Coturnix japonica: one gene and its partner. The protein of the gene in region 1 interacts with the protein of each later gene in a biochemical or structural test. Links are inferred from orthologs where the notes say so. Each region holds a gene or a part of one and is shown on either strand. Other genes may lie near its edges. The genes, in order: DLG3 and CYSLTR2.

Region 1 (8,627 bases):
ACTGCTCAGATCAGAACCCCTGGATATCCCACATTGGAAGGGACTCACAGGGATCACCAATCCAGCTCCTGCCTCCACACTCCAAACCCAAACCTTGTGACTGAAAGCATTACCTGAACACCCCCTGAACTCCAGCACTCAGGGCTGTTACACCGTCCTGGGCAGCCTGTTCCAGTCCTACTGCCTTCTGGTGCAAAACCTTTTCCAAACCCATCCTCAGCAGGGGCCAAACCCAGCTCTGCTGAGCTGAAGATCACCCCAGCTAGTCATGCACAGCACAGCTGTGACTGGGGGAGGGGGTTTGATGCCCACAACCCAGCACAAGGACTTACTTTCTTGCCGTATCACTGGCTCGTATGACAGGATAGTGTCCTCTTGTCCTTCTGAAACAGAGCCAAGGAGAGACGGGTGAGCGTTGGCAGCAGCCTCCCAGCCCCAGCCACCCCTTGCACTGAGGACAGGCTCTCACACCCAGCCATATCAGCCTCCTCCTCCTCTACTGCAGGCCTGGATATGAGTGGGCACAGCTGTGGGTGCACTGCAGGCATGTAGAGGAGCACTGGGGGTAACGGGAGCACTGGCTGCGGCCAGACCCAAGTTGTCTTGCACCCCATAACCCATGATGGCAGCTGGCCCAGCATCTCAGTACCACCAGCAGGAAGGAACAGCCTCCGAATAGAAACAACACTGGGACAGGACATGATGGGAGTGCACACACACACACACAGAGGTGAGACAGCAGGAGAGACGCACACTTACTGGAACTGCTCTCGCTGTCACTGGTGTTTGATGTCACGCCCTCTGCAAAGCAACCAGAGAGACCATCTTCAGAGCCAGCGCTTGCCAAGGGCACGCAAGCTGGCACCCAGTGCTGGCAACTGAGAGCAGGGCAGCCAGGTGGCACCACCAGAAAGGCACCCTGGCACCCATGGGGAGGGCTGGGAGTGGGGTGCTGGGGCAGAACTCTTGCCCTTTGTCACGCTCAGGGGGAATAGGGTATGTGTGGGGGAACCTCTTCTGCTTGGCTATGCTGAGATGGGGGAGGTGCTGGGAGCGGGGCTGCGGGCAGGGCTGGCAGGGTGCAGCATGCACACGGAGGGCAGGGGTGGGGAGCTGCCTGCAGGGACGGGCTGGGACTCACAGAGACGAGACAGTGACAGGATGGGACAGAGTTCGGGGCTTTGCTTTGCTTTGGCTGATCCCAGTGCTGTGACCTCCCCACAGAGGCTGGCCGCTGCCTGCCTTACTCAGAACAGCTCTGCAGGGTTTGGGGTGTGCAGCCAAGCAGCTCTGGGCACGTGGGCAATCATACACCATCAAAGGAAGGTGGCACGACACCTTCACCTGCTCCCGAGGGTGCCGTGGGCAGGCCCTTGTGTGCGCTTAGGGTACAGCCAAATCCCCCAAGCAAACTGCCCATCCCCTCCCCAGTGTAGCACCTTCAGAGCCCTCTGCTGGGAGAGGCAATCAAACCCATGGGGTTCCTCATGCCCCACACCCAGAGAAGCACAGCCACCAGGCACCCCCAACGTGTGTTGGCGATGGAAAGTGAACGATGCGTGTTGCAATTCCACTTACTCAGGTTCTTTGCTCCATAATAATCGTCACTTAACCCAGGGAAGTCCTGATTTCACAGACAGCGAGAAGGGGGAGAAGGGAGAGAAAAGAGCGCAGGAGAGGGGAGGTCAGAGAGGAGGGGAGAAGAAGACAGAGCCAGATGAGCATTAGTGACAGGAGTGCAGAACTGCCCAGAGCTGTAACTGCAAGTGATGTTAAGAAACGTTTCCCGGCGGTGACACCGATATCTCACCAAGAGCTGCTGACGCCCAGCAGACCCTCACAGCACTCTGGCTGCGCCTGGAGGCCACTGTGGGTCCCCCTGAAGCTCTGCCACAGCCCCAAAGCGTTTCTCCATACAGCCTCAATTGGTCTTTCGCAGTGTGCAACTCTGCTCTCCCCTAAGCCCCTCTGGAGGGGAAACGAGCACTGCCACACCTCTAACAGCATGGCTGGGGGATGCTTCTCCCCACCTGTGTGCATGAGCTGCCCACATCCCCCTGCTGCAAGCAGGGCACCAGGATGGGCAGTGCAGCAGAGCATGGCAAGGGAGCTGCCTGCAGGCTGCTCTGATGCTGCTGGCAAAGAGCACAGCCTGCCCTGTGCCTGTGCCATATGTCCCATACTGCAGGGCAGGCCAAGAGCAGTGCCTCAGTGACCTTCAGCTGCAGGCACTGAGCTGATCTGTGCTCCATTAGCACCCTCATGCCATCCCATTCCCTGCTGCTACACCACCTCCAACACAGGTCACATCCTCACTGCTTCCCACAGCTACCAGCTATGGCCATGCCCTGCACACAGAGCAGGGCGCCCACACCCTACAACAAAACAAGGGTAGCCAGGACAGGAAAAGCTTCCAATGGCCAAGTCCTGTTCCATCAGAGGCTTTCCAGCATGCCCAGCCACATGCCCTGCAGGAACCTGGACACACAGACTTCACACACCATCACAGCCATCATGCTGACTGCTGTCACTGAGACCTCCATGCAGCCTGGCTGAATGAAGTGGGCACTGCCCCATGGCAGCCTGGTTCCAGCTGCCCCCTGCCAAACCCAGGAGGGTGCTGGAGGGGAGCACTCAATGTGTTGGCATCTGGGCAGGGACACAGCTCCGCCTTGCCCACTTGCTCTCCTCTTTCCAAAAACACAACACCTGCAGCCTTCTCTGTGAACACTCAGTGGAGGAGTGGATGCAATTTAGCACCTGGAAAGAGGAGAGGCTGAGCACAGCTGCTCACCTAACCCAGCAAGGGCAGGCTGTTCCATCCTTGCACAGGGAAAACACTTTCAAGAAGTGAGTTTGCTCCAGAGGAGTTGTGCAGCTGACCCTCAGTTTTCCCTACTGCAGGCACCAGCATTCCTGATGTCAGGATTTGAAGCGAGGAGCTGAACACTCAGCACAGCTCTCAAACCTGGAGGTGTCTCAAGGTTACACCCCTACCCCTTTCTCTCATCCTTTTCTACACACAGGATGTGTCTGTGCACAGCCCTGCCTGCCAAGGAGAGGGGAGCTGCAGCACAACCAGCCCTCACTGGGAGCCCTGGGTGAGAGCTGGGTATTCCCCACAATCTGCAGCCAAGAAGCCAGGATGTGTCTCAGCTGCTGAGTGTGGGCAGTGCTTCTGCCAGCGAGAGCACACCTCCCTCACAGCCACAGGGTTTCACTTACAGGAAAGGCTTGGAGACTGTCAGGAATAGGTAGCAGAGAGTCACTTCTATGGGAGACAGTGAGCACAGCCAAGATGTCCCCCTCAGCCTGAGGACAAGGGCCAAGCTCCTGCACTGCTCAGCCACCTCTTGCTCTGGGAGGGGGAGCAGCCCTTGGCAGGCACAGGGAGGGAGCAGAGCTCACAGCACATGGGAGAGAGCAGGAAGAGGCAGAGCAGGAGTGTAGGCAAGTATAAAGTTATGAAAGGATGAAGACACCAAACACGAGAAAGAGAGCCAGCCCGTGCAGAGACACAGCCAGAGGCAGCTGGGCTTGCAGCAGCTGAGTGAGCCTGCCTGTGCAGGGCGTTCATGCCTGGGACTTCAGCAGGTGCACAGGGACAAGAAATGCAGCCGGGAGGTCCCTCACTCGGTTGGCATCCACCCCGAGTGCTACAGGAGCTACCGCTCTGATTTCAGGCTCAGGCTGCTCCCTAGCTGCAGGTAGGGCTGATGGGCACAGAACCTGAACGAGCCCTGGGCCACATCCATGCCTGACGGTGGCTGGGAAGGCTCCAGTGCAGTAGGGCACGTGCATGGCCTCAGCCTGCCTGGCAGCAGCAGCACAGTTTGGCCAACACAGGCAGGCACTGTGCTTGCTGGCTATGGGAACGTGGCACATCTCCCCTCCTCAAGGCAGGAGGTGGGGGTTGGGGGGTTGCACGTTGCCCTCTCTGGCCAGCTGCTACTTACGTTCCTGTCCGCCGCTCTCCTGGGCCAGGTTCTCTTTGCTCTTGTAAAATGGAAACTTTCGAGAGAGGCGGAAACTCTTTTTACGTTTCGTTTTGATCGACTGTGAAGAAGATGGAGATGGAGGGGAGGACAGAAAAAACAATGGCGTTTAACGCATGCAAGGAAAATTAAAATGGAGAGACGATGAGGAGCTGTGGAAGGGCGGTTACCCTGGAATGAAATCATGGGGATTACATGAAAACTGTAATGCAGGAAAAAAATAATTGAATGCGGAGAAAAATGTGTTTTTAGGGATGTTGGGAAGCTGATGAGCCTCTGCAGGAGGAGCACGGCTGTTCTCACTGCCTCATCCATTCACTCCATGCAAGGGAAGCTCTGCCAGCATCAGGCACCTGCACTCAGCTCCCAGCCACCAGTGTGCTCTGCCGGGGCTGTGCTGGGACATGCTCTGCTCCCTTGCCACCATAAAGACACCCCGCTACCAAACCACTGTCTGTCATCAGCACCTTCACAGCTGCCTCAGCCCCTCTGCTCCCACCCTGCACACAGCTGAGGGGAGCTGTGCCTCAGACAGTCCGTTGCACTGCTCCTTGCTCTGGGACAGCTCTGGCTGCTCTCAATGGGAGCACTGAGCTGCCCAGACTCACCCTGCCCCACTACAGCACACTGGCTCATTATGCCTGCTTAGCACTCACCCGGTTGGACTCTATCATGCCAGTCCTGGCGTGGAACTTCACCGTTTTCAATCGTGCTCTCTCTTTCTTCTCCACCCTGATTGGAAGTTAAAAGGGAGAGAGATACTGCTAGTCCCTGGGATGCCCATAATGCTGCACGTATTCCTCATGCTGATACCACCAGATCTGCCACACGGTGCAGATCCAGAAGCTGGGTCCCGAGGCTCACAGGACCAAAGCACCATGCAAGTCAGCTCCTGCTGATGGGCACTCACCTCTTCTTGCTGGGGATGACTCCGATCTGCTCGCTCTCACCGTGAGGTGTCACAAGCCTGGCTTGCCACCACTCATCATCGGAGGCATTGATGACATGCAGAATGTCCCCATAGGAGAAGCTGAGCCCCTGGCTGGGTAAGCAGCTGTCCCGGGTCCGGTCATAGTCAAACAGAGCTCTGCAAAGGAGCACAGAGAGGAGTGAAGCCCTCCCCTGCCAAGGAAGCAGCAGCACTGCAGACCTCATTAGGCTGTGGATGAAGTGCTCACCATGAACCCCCCACAGAAACGACAGCCAACAAACTAGCTCTTGACATGAACTGCAAGAAGCACACAAACCACACAGATGCTCAAGAAGGCTGTGGTCAGAAAGCAGCCAAACAAGAATATATAACAGGTTCAGCAGCCTCAAAAAAATATAACAGGTTGTAAATGGTACCCCGCTGCCAATCAGGAAAGCAGCACAAGAGGGAAAACCCGGCTGATCTGTTCAGAGGGCGAGACCCAGCACCCTTCATGAGCAAAGCTGCAGGCCAACAGAATGCCCTGCAGCAGGGAATGGAGAGCTTGCCCTGTGCCATGAGCAACAAGGGTGTGAGATGGCCAGGAGCTGACTGTGCCCTGCTGCTGGAGGAAGTCATGCCCATGGGCTGCAGGGCACACACAGCCTTCACTCTTATTTACGTGTAGAGGTATTTGATTCCAGAGCTCTGTGAGTTATGAGTGCAACTCAATGCTTACCTGATTCTACAACTATTCCAGATTTTTAAATGCTTCCCCTAAGAACAGTTTATTTAGTTATAGTACAAGAGCTTCATCTCCAATATTAAATTACCCAGCTGCAGAAAAGATGATTATTTTTTAAACTAAGGAAGAGAAGCACTAATGCTCTTCCTGTGCAAGCGACTGGAGCCTTATCGCCCGCCTCCACTGCAGCCCTTTGCCACAAGCTGCTTTCAGGGGCCTCATCCTACCAATGTCAGATCTCAAACCAGACCTGTTTTCCATTCCACATCCTTCAGCAATGCATGGAAACAGCTGAGCCGCCATTCAGAGCACTGTTACTGGTGGCACAACTGGGAGCCCCATTTTCACTCCTACAAGGTCAGCCCCACTCTCCCCCCAGGCAGAGTGTGGGGGCACGGTGAGCACTTCTCAGCCAGCTGCCGGCCTCATCCAGGCAGAAAAGAAGGGGAAAGCCATAATAACACCACCCTCTGCCCTGCTCATCACCTCCTTCCACTATGAGGAACCCCGAGGGGGTCTGGAACAACACAGAACAAGTCACACTGATTGTCGAGCTGAATCCTTTTAACTGTGGCTCCATAAATAGTAAAAGCAACAGGCACACCACACACCAGCCACCTGCAGAGCAAGCTGCCTCGCTGACTATCAGAAACTGCTTCTCTGCTACATTTAATAAGAACCTTCTCCCCAGCCAGCACGGCAGCTGAGGGTCAGCATAGGTCTCCCTCCCTGCGGTGGCTCCAGGTAAGCTGGGGCTCCCCTCTCCTGGGAAGCAGAAGAGCAGCACCAAATCTTGCACTGTTGTGAAAGCTGCCGCTGTTTCCAGTTCCTTCCAGTTTTATCCTGCTTGTCCCGACTGGCTAAATTATAACCCCATGTGGAACTGTTGCAGGAACAGCTATAGAGTGGTCTGCTTTTGACTAAGCAGCCAATATCTACCTGCAGGTCCTCATTTCTGGCAGCGGTATCAGTGTGCAGGCTGCAAAGCACCAGCTCATCTTCCAGACCAGAGAGAACTGTCAGATCACAGGAACTGTGCCCTGTGAGCACCCGAGGACTCAGCATCACCACACGCCTTCTGCCTCCCAGGCACCAGCACCCACCTGCACCAGGACGGTGAGCTCAGGTGCCAGATCTCAGCCACAGGGCTGAAATGAAGGGCCTGGCTGGGCTCAGGCATAGAAGCAGCTCCTGCAGTAGCCCTGTCTTGGCTTCAACCGGGACATGGATGAGCGATGGAGCACTAAGCAGAGAGCTGGATGTGCTCTTCTTGGGTCACATCCTTCTTTAAGCACGGTGACACAAGCAGCTCCTGGACCAGAAGGACGGGGAGCCCTCTGGGCTGAGGCCTGATATGTTGATGCAGCCCCGAGGTTCACCCAGCCAACAGCTCACTCTGCTTTCTCCAGCTTACTCGGGGCCATTGCTGGGAGGCTCCTGTGCTCGGCCCCACAAGAACAGAAACACGCATGGCCCCGAGCACAGCACGTGGCAGCCGGCAGTGCAGCACCGCGGGGCCCTTCAGCTGGAGGCAAGCAGCCCTGCCAGGCACCTCTGCTCCCTGCCAAAAGATAAGGCCGTGTGCGTGGCTGGCACGCCCCAGCCAGACCAGCGCCATTAGGAATGAGGAGAGTGCAATTAACAGGAAGGAAAGAGCAGAGAACCGGCCGGGCAGGTTCCAGAGCCAGCAGCACCCTCAGCCCCACGGCCCGGCCTGTTGGCTCCCAGCTGCAGGGTGCCTGCTGGCCAGGCCTGGCCCCGCTCCCCTCAGTGCCTGCACGGGGAACTCAGTGCTGCTGGATGAGAAGCCGGCCTGCTGGAGCCAAACAGCAGCCCTGCGAGGCCCAGCCCTCCTCCACTCAGCCCCATCCCCTGCAGGAGCAGCAAGCTGGCTGCAGAGCAGCGGAGCAGTGCCAGGCCTGCTCCAGAGCCAGCACTGAGCCGTCCCAGCCCCTGCTGGACTTTGCCCTGCAGGAGTGCTGGGAGCCTGCCCTACCCAGGTGGGCTGTGAGCACTGTGAGCACTGGGCCCCACTGCCCCGTGCACCCCACGGCCTGGCGGTGCTGACTCGAGCAGTTTGCTAGCACGTCCCATAATTGATGTCCTGTCCACAAGGCAGCAGCTCAGCCGGTTTCAGGCAACTTGTGCTCGAAACCACCCCGCCCAGAAGGGCTGGGGCAGCTCTCACACACTCACGGGTGTCAGTGGGGCAGCAGATGGCAAATCCAGCAGAGCCTTGTGAAACTGTGAGCTGTGGGAACATAACACAGCTCTGCCCCGTGTCCGTCTGGGCACAGGAACCCTGAACCCCCAAACGCTCTTACACAGCACAGCCCTGCTGCAAGACATGCAGCCTCAGCTCCCACCTTCCTCCCTGCAGGGAAAGAGAAGCATCCCTTGCTTCTGCCAACCCCCACCTGCAACCCAAGGTGAGGAGTTGCAGGATGATTTTAATAAGCAAATTACAATCGCTCATTAGCTGCCACCACGTTGCTTCTCACTGCAAAAAGCAGACACTGCATCCAGCCAGGGGATGGCAGGGGCAGCAGCCAGCAGGGCGGGGGGCACGAAGCAGTCACGGAGCCAGCACCGTGCGGCTGCTTAACCCCTGCGTGCTCCGTGCCTGGCTCTGAACCAAAAGCACAACTCGGGATCAAAGCCATAATCCTCCTAAGAGCTCATCTCCCCTCCAGCCAGATCTCGCTGCATGAGTGGCAACAGAGAAGCCAGTTAGTGCAGAGCGGGTAGCGGAGAGCACTGCCTGCATCCTGCCTTGGGCCTCTCCATCCCCAGCAGCTCACCCTGGGACGCAGCTGCCTGGCTGCAGCACAGCCCAGCTCTCTGCACAGTCGCCTGTTTAAAAGGTATTTAAGTGCAGAGCATTCAGCCCTGAAGAAGGAGTGCAAAACCCACTGCTGTGCTCTCCAAGCTCCGTGCCTTATTTATAAAGCTCGCTGTCCTCCCCTTGCAGAAGCAG
Region 2 (9,166 bases), on another chromosome or scaffold:
CTACTTTTCCAGCCTTTTGTGTGCTCATTTCTTTCATCAGACATTCATCTATATGGCAGCCTGAATTAGCAGCCCTAATAAAAATGGCCTGTGGAAAACAGGCTATTTCCATAGAAAGTGATATTTTCACTCCCACAAGGCTATATTTCAATCAAATCAAAACAACCGGTCAATAAAACACTCTAAATAGTATACACATTTTTTTTTTCTTTTTAATGTACTTGCTAAACTCCTGATTTTTTTCTCTCTGATGATCTGTAAGTAGTAGTATTTTAAAATCATAGAATTATAGAATACCCTGAAATTGAAGGGATCTGTAAATGTAATCAAGTCCAACTCCTAAAGGGAGGTCTCTGGTTCTGCTACTTGTTTAACAATGGGACAGAAATGCCCTCTCTGCAACTGCCAGCACATCCCAGAAACGCACTGAAAAAATTTAGCCTAAAAAGCAGAACAATATGAAATTTCCAAGTGCATGAAAAAAGTTTTAATACATCCCAGTGAGAAAGATAAGGGCCTAGTGGTATATGCTTGCAGGTTATGTCTTTTTTTTTGGACCTCACAGGCTTCATAATTTTGAATAAAGTTATTTGTGTTCTTGGAATTTCACTACGGGGAAAGCTTGGGCACCTTGGACTACCACTTACACACTATAGCACTGGCAACACTGCTGTAAATGGAAATTAATTTGTGCACTCAGATACTTTTCTGTGGTACAAGAGCTGCTCTATGTTGAGGGCAGCCAGTGACCTCTTCAGGGCTCTGTGTCGGAGTACAGATCCCTTAATACAGCAACCAGATGTGCCCCAGAAGTTATTTTTTGTGGCCAAACAGAGCATGGGAAATGGAGCCTGCCCAGGCTGGGCTCCTAAGAAGCAGAGCTTATCCCCTGTAGCAGGATGGGAATGCGGCAGTTTGGGCTTGGGGAACAGGGGCTTTCACTAACAACAATAATGTGACCATCCCTGCAGGGCTTGAAACCATCCCTCCAAGAAACAAGGACAATAATGTCTATAAAGTGTAGGAGTGCTGAAGACTGGAACTTGGCAAACTGAACACTCGTTCCCCCCTAAAGAAAATCTCCTCCTTATTTGAAAGTCTCTTCGCCAGTGTAGAGGATAGGCAACGTAAGCTTCCCAACAAAACAATTGCAGTCCAAGGAGATCTCATAGAATCATAGAATCACAAATGGCTTGGCTTGGAAGGGACCTAATAAATCACCTAATTGCAAGCCCCTTGCCATGGGCAGGGTTGCCACCCACCAGGTCAGGCTCTTCTCAAGGCTCAATCCAACCTAGTTTTAGTACCCAGTACAAAGTTACTGTCTGACATCAAAGTTTTCTGTGTGGGATCAGGAAACATCTCTTCTTCTAATGGAAGTTGGCCCCCCTGTTTTACAGGGAGTCATCACAGATTGATGTACTTCAAAGAGAAGAGACTTTTGATGGTGCGTTGCTATTAGGGCAAGAGAGAGAGCACATCTGCAGAGCAAAGGAAAGGGTGGCTTTCCTGAAATAACTGCTGTGTAAAGTATATCAGTGGGAGCCTCTGTGCCATGCTGCTGGCTTGATAGTAGTGATAGTGTAGGATATACAGGTGAAGGAGTGGCACTGTGCAGGAAGGACTGTGTAACTAGCAATTGCATACAAATATTATGACTGAAAGTCCTTGTGGACAGTCATTCCATCTTCTCATAATGAAAAAATTTAGTACTAAGGTTATGCTACCAAACTCCTCACCATGATAATGATAGTCATAGGAAAATGTTAGAAAAGCTGAAAGCAGGTAGTAATGGTAGGGAATTTCAAGTTCAGAACAAGATATGCAACAAATGCCTAATTCCTAGGACAAATGGTTCTACAGTCTGCAAGACATGATGCTTTTTGATCTTTAGTGCTGCACAGGCCCCAGTTCTGGCAGGAGGGAGGGAGGGAGCACTGTACCAGCAATCATGATAGGACTCACAGTGTCAGTGTTGTGGGAGAGAGGAGCAGTCCCAGGACCAAGAAATCGACATCATTTTAGAGGGAATAGGAAAACAGTAAAAACAACAAACAAACAATCAAAAGAAACCACACAAAACCAAAACCACACAACAGCAACAACCAAATCACAGAGGATTCAACAAAACTTCTGTAAGGTTGGAGGAGCTGGATGCACTGGACATACATGTGTAGGAAATATCAAACTGAATAGACAGATGAGAGGCCAATAAGTAATCAGGACCAGATGACATTTGTATGAGTACCCCAAAGGCTCTCAGACTTGGACTGCTGTCCAAGGCACATAACCCACCATTATAATCATGTGCCATTCCAGGGGACCACTGCATCACTAGGGCAGCTCTTCATCTACAAGAACAGCGTGGGAGAGAAGCCTGGGGGCTGTGAGTCAGCAGTCCTGATGCCTGGGAGCCTACTGACCCCCAAGACCGATTTCCATATATATGAGAGCTGCTCCAAAAGTAATGCCTCCTGTTTTACTGTTTTGGCCCATGACATTAGAGTCAGAAGGCAATGGTATGGCAGTAGATGTGGAACCTACCCAACAACATCCTGTTACATTTTGTTGGCAGATGGCATCAGAGGGACAATCTGACAAAATGGTGTCTGACAAGGACGTGTGTTTGAAGCAAAGGAGTGTCACAGAGCTCTTCCATGAGGAAAAAATTACACCCACTGACATTCATTGATGCCATGCTGGAAAGCTGGCAGATGAGCATTTTAGTAGAAGGTGATAAATGCTGGAGCAAATAACCTAAACCATGCTTACATGATACAGAACTTGAAACTGTTACTGTGAGGAAAGGGCATTTGGCATCAGTGATAGACCCATCATCGACTGTTTGCCAAAGTCATTTCTGCATAAGCTGCAGCGGAAGCAACAAGAATTTCAAGAAAATGAGTCACATCACCAAGAAGTCTGGGTCAGCTGGTATAAAATCACCTTGTATAAAACCTTCCTGCATTCCCCCAGTGAATGTGCCATGCAGTTCTGCTCTCTGCACCCCCCAAAAAAAGACATTATAGAGTTAGGGAAGAGGCAGAGAGGGGTGAGTGAAATCAGCAAGGTGACGGAGCAAGGACTCAAAAGTATGGGTAAATTCAGCATAGACAGGATAGACATGCAGTCAAGCTTTACAGGTTCCTGAAGGAGGTGGATAGTGTGAATGTACCACTACTGATGTGTTCCCACATGGGGTGCTCATCAGGGCTGTTGGGAGTCTATGGTCAGGCAGATAGAAGAGGGCTGTTTTCTGTGTCATCTCCTCTCACTGGGGGAGGTGAGCTGGAAGAGGCTGCTGCTAAAAGTGTAAAAGGGAAACTCTCCATTTCCAGACTGAGAAGTTTCTCACATCCGCTACTTTGAAACCCTGAGATCTCTATAACACAGAGAACATATTTTCGGTGAGGTGTTCTGCACATGCAGTGATAAATAAAGGTATCAGAATGTTCATTCAAAATACATGTCTTTTTTGCCCTAAGAGATTAAATATATTGATCCGTTTGTATGTCAGGAAAAGGAGGTGCTCCGTGCATCTATCACAACAGTCCTCTGTCAGAAGAAGGCTTCTGCCACAACAATCCCATACTCATAATATTAAGGCAGTCATGGCATTGCTGCTATGTTTGGGATTGCTTGCATCTGCCTCTGTATCTCGAGAAAACCAAAAGTTTTGACATGTCTCAAAGTTCCCATTAGCTTTCCTTCTGCTGTCTTCGTGTTGTGTTTTAAGGAGTAGCGTTACCAAGAATAAATGTAGCAGAATGCAGTATTTGGAATTAACAGTGAATTACATCCACCAAAACATGCAGTGCTTTATTAACCTCGCTGCATGCACAATATTACAGATAAATAAATTCAGACTCTAACTCCTAGCCTCTTTAATTTTAAGTTTGCCATTGACCACATATTTTTGTCATCTCGTTAAAAGCCAGCACTCACTTAATCAGACCCACTACTTGACTGTCATCTTCCATCTGGAAGCACTGCAAGTTACATAAATCCACCCTTTCTGCCAAAGAAAATTCTCAAGCCCAACTTTGTCATAGAGAAATTTAGTTAACGATCACAGCTTCTATCATATGCAAAGCTTACCGCAAGCAATATATAAGCAGATTGTATTTTCTTCACTGCAGCTATTCTATCTATGTCAGAAAAAGCAGGCAAGCCTTGTCTTACCTCAGCTGGTGTGCCTTCTGGTGTGCTCGGTCTCCTTCTTCTGCCCACTGTTGCTTACCACTTTCAGTTTTGTTGCTGGAAATCAGAAGCACAAAAACTTGAAGCAAAACCCGAATGCTGTTTACGCAGAAGCCACACAAGAGCAAACAGTAGTAAGAAAAGGAAGTAGGTCCTGATTAGTAGATCTTACGTTTTCTTAAGAGAGAAATGTTCTCAGCTCAAGGAGGGCTGCTAGCAATCGCACGGCAGTGTCGCATGCGCTTTGGCCCAACAAAAAGGGCCCTGCAGCTAATGTAGCATCTGGAAACTGTCTGGATTCCTGTGTTTGGGCCGCACTTAAATATCTGCACTCTCAGTAACTGGCATTGCTTGATTTCTTAGGATAGGTTCCCGTATGTCATTCACATGGATCACTGTAATTGGAGTCTGTGGAATTACGAAGCATTATTTCCCAGGCTTCTCGTGCAGAAATGAGTGAAACCATAAGCATGCTTCTAGGGGTTAATGAGTAACCATATTCAGCACAAGCAATTCAAGGATGAGTTTGTGGAGCCAAGGGACTGCTTTTTTTTTTTTTGACCGCTGATAGGGAGTAAATACGTTGCTATTTTAGGCCATAACAAGAAGCTGCAGTGAACGCCTTACTGCAACAGTGATCACAGGATCATAGAATCATAGAATTGCTCAGGTTGGAAGAGACCTTAAGATCATCAAGTCCAAACACAACCTGACCATACTACCCTAACTCTAACAACCCTCCACTAAATCATGTCCCTGAGCACCACATCCAAACACAGATGGCACAGATGAGTGCTCCTAGTTTACTGCAGTTGTGAAATAGGGTTCTATACACACGGCAGATGTAACTGTTTATTCTTCTGTTCTGTCAACACACACGGGAGGACCAGATGTATCTCTAGGTGCTGTGTTTCATTTCATAAACATCAGGAAATACCTCTGTGCTGTGCAGTGACAGAGCACTGGCACAGGCTGCCCAGTGATGTGGGATCTCCTCCTTGGGGATCTTCCAGATCTGCGTGAATGCAGCCCTAGGCACCCTGCTCTGGGTGTCCCTGCTGGGGCAGGGGCTGGAGCAGAGGGACCCAGAGGGCCCTGCCAGCCTCAGCTGTGCTGTGATAGCTGGCAGTAGGTCAGGAATCCTGCTATGTACTACAGTTCAGTAGCTGGAGAGTCTCCCAGCAAACCTCACCACCTACACTTACAGTCGTTTACATCCCAAATTGCTTTGGACAATCCTGTTTGTAATCTCCCCTCTGTTGGCCACCTGCACTTCACTGTCATTTATTGCTAGTGCTCTTCACTTTAGCTGTATACATGGACTACCAAAGAGGTGTAATAGCCCTATTGCTCCCCATGTGGGGCTGGAGTTGCAGCAGGCAGTGGCTGTGTAGGTGAGTGTCACCAGAGCTCACAGATCCCTGCACCAGGGAGGAGGTACATACAGCTTGTAAGCAGTGCTATAAGCTTTTTAAAGCATAGACCTGAAGGAGGACATGGAAAACCAGCTTATAAAGGAACTAGACTAGTAACTTCAGACCTTGCCTGCTCTCGTTGCACTGAGGGCCTTGCATAGTTGTCCTCTTCCAGTTGCTTTGCTTACTGTCCCAGTCCAAAGTCTGCCAGCAAAGTTGCTCAAATGTGTGCTCTCAAACCCTATTTAGCCTTGGAGATATTCACCCCAGACACCTGAAACAGGAGGTCTCAGCTCATTCCCTTTGGATTGAAGCAGAGTAGGAAATGATCCCACAAGTGGCTTGAAGGACAGCTTTCAGTGTCAGAGCCTTTTGGGAGGAAGCAGTGGTGCGCAACAAGGAGCAGCATGGGAACTACCACTTCAGACATCAAAGTCATGGCCAGAGGAGGGCTGTGGCTTCTGAGATGCTCCACCCGCTGAGATGGTATCTGATCATACAACCATAGAATTATATAACAACTTAGGGTTGGAAGGGATCTAAAAGTTCATCTAGTTGCAACCCCCCTGCTGTGGGCAGGGCTGCCACCCATTAGATCAGGCTGCTGAGGGCCCCATCCAATCTTATCTGCATCTTATCAGCAAGTAACAGAGACAGCACAGAGACAGTCAAATAGCATCTCTATCACATGGCCCGTGCTGATAAACACTGAGTCTGATAGGCAGGCTGTTCCCATATACTCAAGGTATCTTCACTGCCAGGATAATTTCTCACATTCACATCCTTATACACCCTGTTTTCTGGAGTGTACTGCTTCCTCTCTTTTGTAAAGGAATGCTGTGTTTTGCTTTTAGCCTGGGTTTGGATAGATGGAATTGGCTACCAACTCTCGCTGCACCAGAAAAACTGGATTTTGGGTGACTGCTTGAGATGTTTTGTATAGTCATTGGATGACTCAGCTTCTGAGGGGAATTTATTATATTTCCTTACTAATAAAAACTTCAGCAATTCTGGAGAAGTCATGGCAGAATGTCACAAGGAATCAAAGTCTCATTACAAGATGACATATGCACATCATACTCAACAGCTCACAACTCCAGTTATTTCTGCATCTTGACGCCTGGTAAACTCACAGAGGATCCAGGGCACAACAGAATGCAAGCCATCCATCTGGTCTGCATTTACATGCATTCTTGTCTCTGTTTCTCTTCCCTTTTGCATTTCTGGTTCCCAACAACAGCCCAGTTTCACGAGAGACTGACTCATTCTTTTTAATTCTCCTTCCCCATAGACCTACTTTCTCTCCAGCCCTGTGCAGGAGCATTGCCCATGAATGATGGGTTTGCTCTATTCAGCCCACAGTGGCAAGAAAAACAACCATTGCAGGCCCCCTACAGTCACGTAGATTTTATGATGGTCCGCTACCTGGTCCATTTCTCTGTCCCTGAAGTCTCTGGACAGGTTCTGTCTGCTCTGCACTGCAGCAAAAGGGGCTGCCTTACATATACCTGGGCAAGGCTGGGTCTCTGACACAACGCATAGCTTGACAGACCCATGCAAATTCATCAGCCAGTGCCTATGGAACAAAGAGACATTTGTAAATCAGCACCACGGCCGTGGGAATGGTACATGGGAGATGGGGCAACCTGCTGCATCAGGGCAGCTATCAAATGATGAAGGCAAGTCAAATGAAGAAGTCTGCATATTTTTCCTGTTGCTTGGTCAATATTTTGCTATCTACAGACACAAACAGAGTTTCACTTCTGTAAATCAAGGGACTTTTCTGTTAAAATGGATCCTTCAAGAAAATACCACCATTGAAGATTTTAGTGCTGCGCTTCTTCAGCACAGCAGCTTAGCCTACTAACACATATCTATTTCCAGAGACTAAAATTGCAAAGCCTATGTTCATTTTCTGTTCAATCCAGGAATAAAATGTCATTGAATGATAGCAGCTCATCTGCTGTCAGCCATAAGGCTGGATAGATGGGCAGATGAATGTGACAGCTGCATGAAGAAAGGTGAAGGACTATTGGCAGTTTTAACAGGAAATATTCAGAATGGAAAAACACAGCAGGTTTTCAAGCTGTTTCTTTTTGCAACATTAGTCATGACATTTTTTTTTTTATCACCTGTAGTCTTTTCTTAACTGTTTTGTGTTCCTCTTTATTATATTGATGATGAATGTTAATATTTAAATGGAATGACAAGAGACATCTAATGTTGTTTTTATATAGAATAGACATCCTAAGTTCCCTACTCAGAAAGCTCTGCTATGGACTGTGTTTATCTTGTAGTTAACGCTGTGCTATTCTGCTGAAATCTTTCTTCACATAAATATAGAAACCAGAAGCATAATAAACATTGTTTAATGCCTTTCTACTGTCTGTTTTACAGTAACCATGACACAACAGATGGACAAATAAATATCGTAAGGGTTGCAAAGTCAGAATGATCAGGTTTAGGTATTCCATGTCTTACATTTGGTGGTTAAATGCCGCTGTTAAATACAGCCTGCAAGTCTTTCCACGTAAACACCAGACAACACCAAATACACTTTCACATCAAGGGAGTCCTTGCTAACTTAACCTCAGGAGGTATAACAATAGGAAGTGCAAAGACTTACCCTTGGTGGGGAATAACCCAACTGGGAAGCAGCTTGGCTGAGAAAGACATGCAGGTCCTACTGGACACCAAATTGAACATGAGCCAGCAGCTCACCATTCTCTCAGTAAAGAACTTCCCCTAAACATCTAATCTAAATCTCTCTTTCTTTAGTTTAAAGTCATTCCTCCTTGTCCTATCACTATCTACCCACGTAAAGAGTTGATTTCCCTCTTGTTCATAAACTCCATTCAATCACTGGAAGGCTGCAGTGAAGTCTCCCCACAGCCTTCTCTTTTCCAGGATAAACTAGCCCAGCTCCTTCAGCCTCCATAGGGGATGTGGTCCAGCCCTTGCTTCATCCTCATGCCCCTTCTCTGTTGGAGACTCTCTAAGTTGTATTTTAAAATACCAGATAAAGGTAGAATATATGTGTGCCTTTGAAGGAGAGAATACTATGACCTTTAGTCACAGTATTTATTCAGAATTTTAGGAAGGCATCTAAGCATTTGACCACTGGGTGTTAAAAATATCCGCTTCAACAAATGAAATTTCCAGCTTCATAAACTGTTTAGATTATGTATTTCTTTTGCAAAAAGTTTGCAAACAGTGTACCCCCATGTAAAAATGAGAATTAATCATCTCTGCCACATATAACATGCTTAGTGAAATCCTTTTCACTGGCATACATTGAACAGGACTGACTGAGCCAGCTGGAGGTGGCGGTGGCAAGGATGGGAGAAGAAGGGGGAAAGCACTGCAGCACCAGGTTCCTCTTCCCTCATAGGACAGAGGTCACTCACATATCGCACCGTACCATGCTCTAGGAAGCTGCTCACACTGAGCCAACTAATGCCATCTTTGGTCTTTATATCTTAAGCCATAGAATCATAGAAAGGCCTGGGTTGAAAAGGACCACCATGATCACCCAATTTCAACCCCCCTGC

The links.
Region 2: the proteins of DLG3 (region 1) and CYSLTR2 interact in a test that uses a peptide from one of them, tested with the Homo sapiens proteins (2 studies listed by IntAct, with this or other methods). The link is inferred for Coturnix japonica from reciprocal best matches to the Homo sapiens genes DLG3 and CYSLTR2.

What each region holds. Positions count from the first base shown.
Region 1 is NC_029519.1:2,430,520-2,439,146, forward strand, and holds part of DLG3 (disks large homolog 3), read right to left. Parts: intron 5,083-8,627; coding exon 4,906-5,082; intron 4,728-4,905; coding exon 4,652-4,727; intron 4,057-4,651; coding exon 3,957-4,056; intron 1,625-3,956; coding exon of another isoform or gene 1,579-1,624; intron 802-1,578; coding exon 760-801; intron 384-759; coding exon 333-383; intron 1-332. UniProt on the Homo sapiens protein: Required for learning most likely through its role in synaptic plasticity following NMDA receptor signaling.
Region 2 is NC_029516.1:151,142,167-151,151,332, reverse strand, and holds the start of CYSLTR2 (cysteinyl leukotriene receptor 2), read right to left. Parts: upstream 4,701-9,166; 5' UTR 4,373-4,700; intron 4,258-4,372; 5' UTR 4,183-4,257; intron 1-4,182. UniProt on the Homo sapiens protein: Receptor for cysteinyl leukotrienes. The response is mediated via a G-protein that activates a phosphatidylinositol-calcium second messenger system.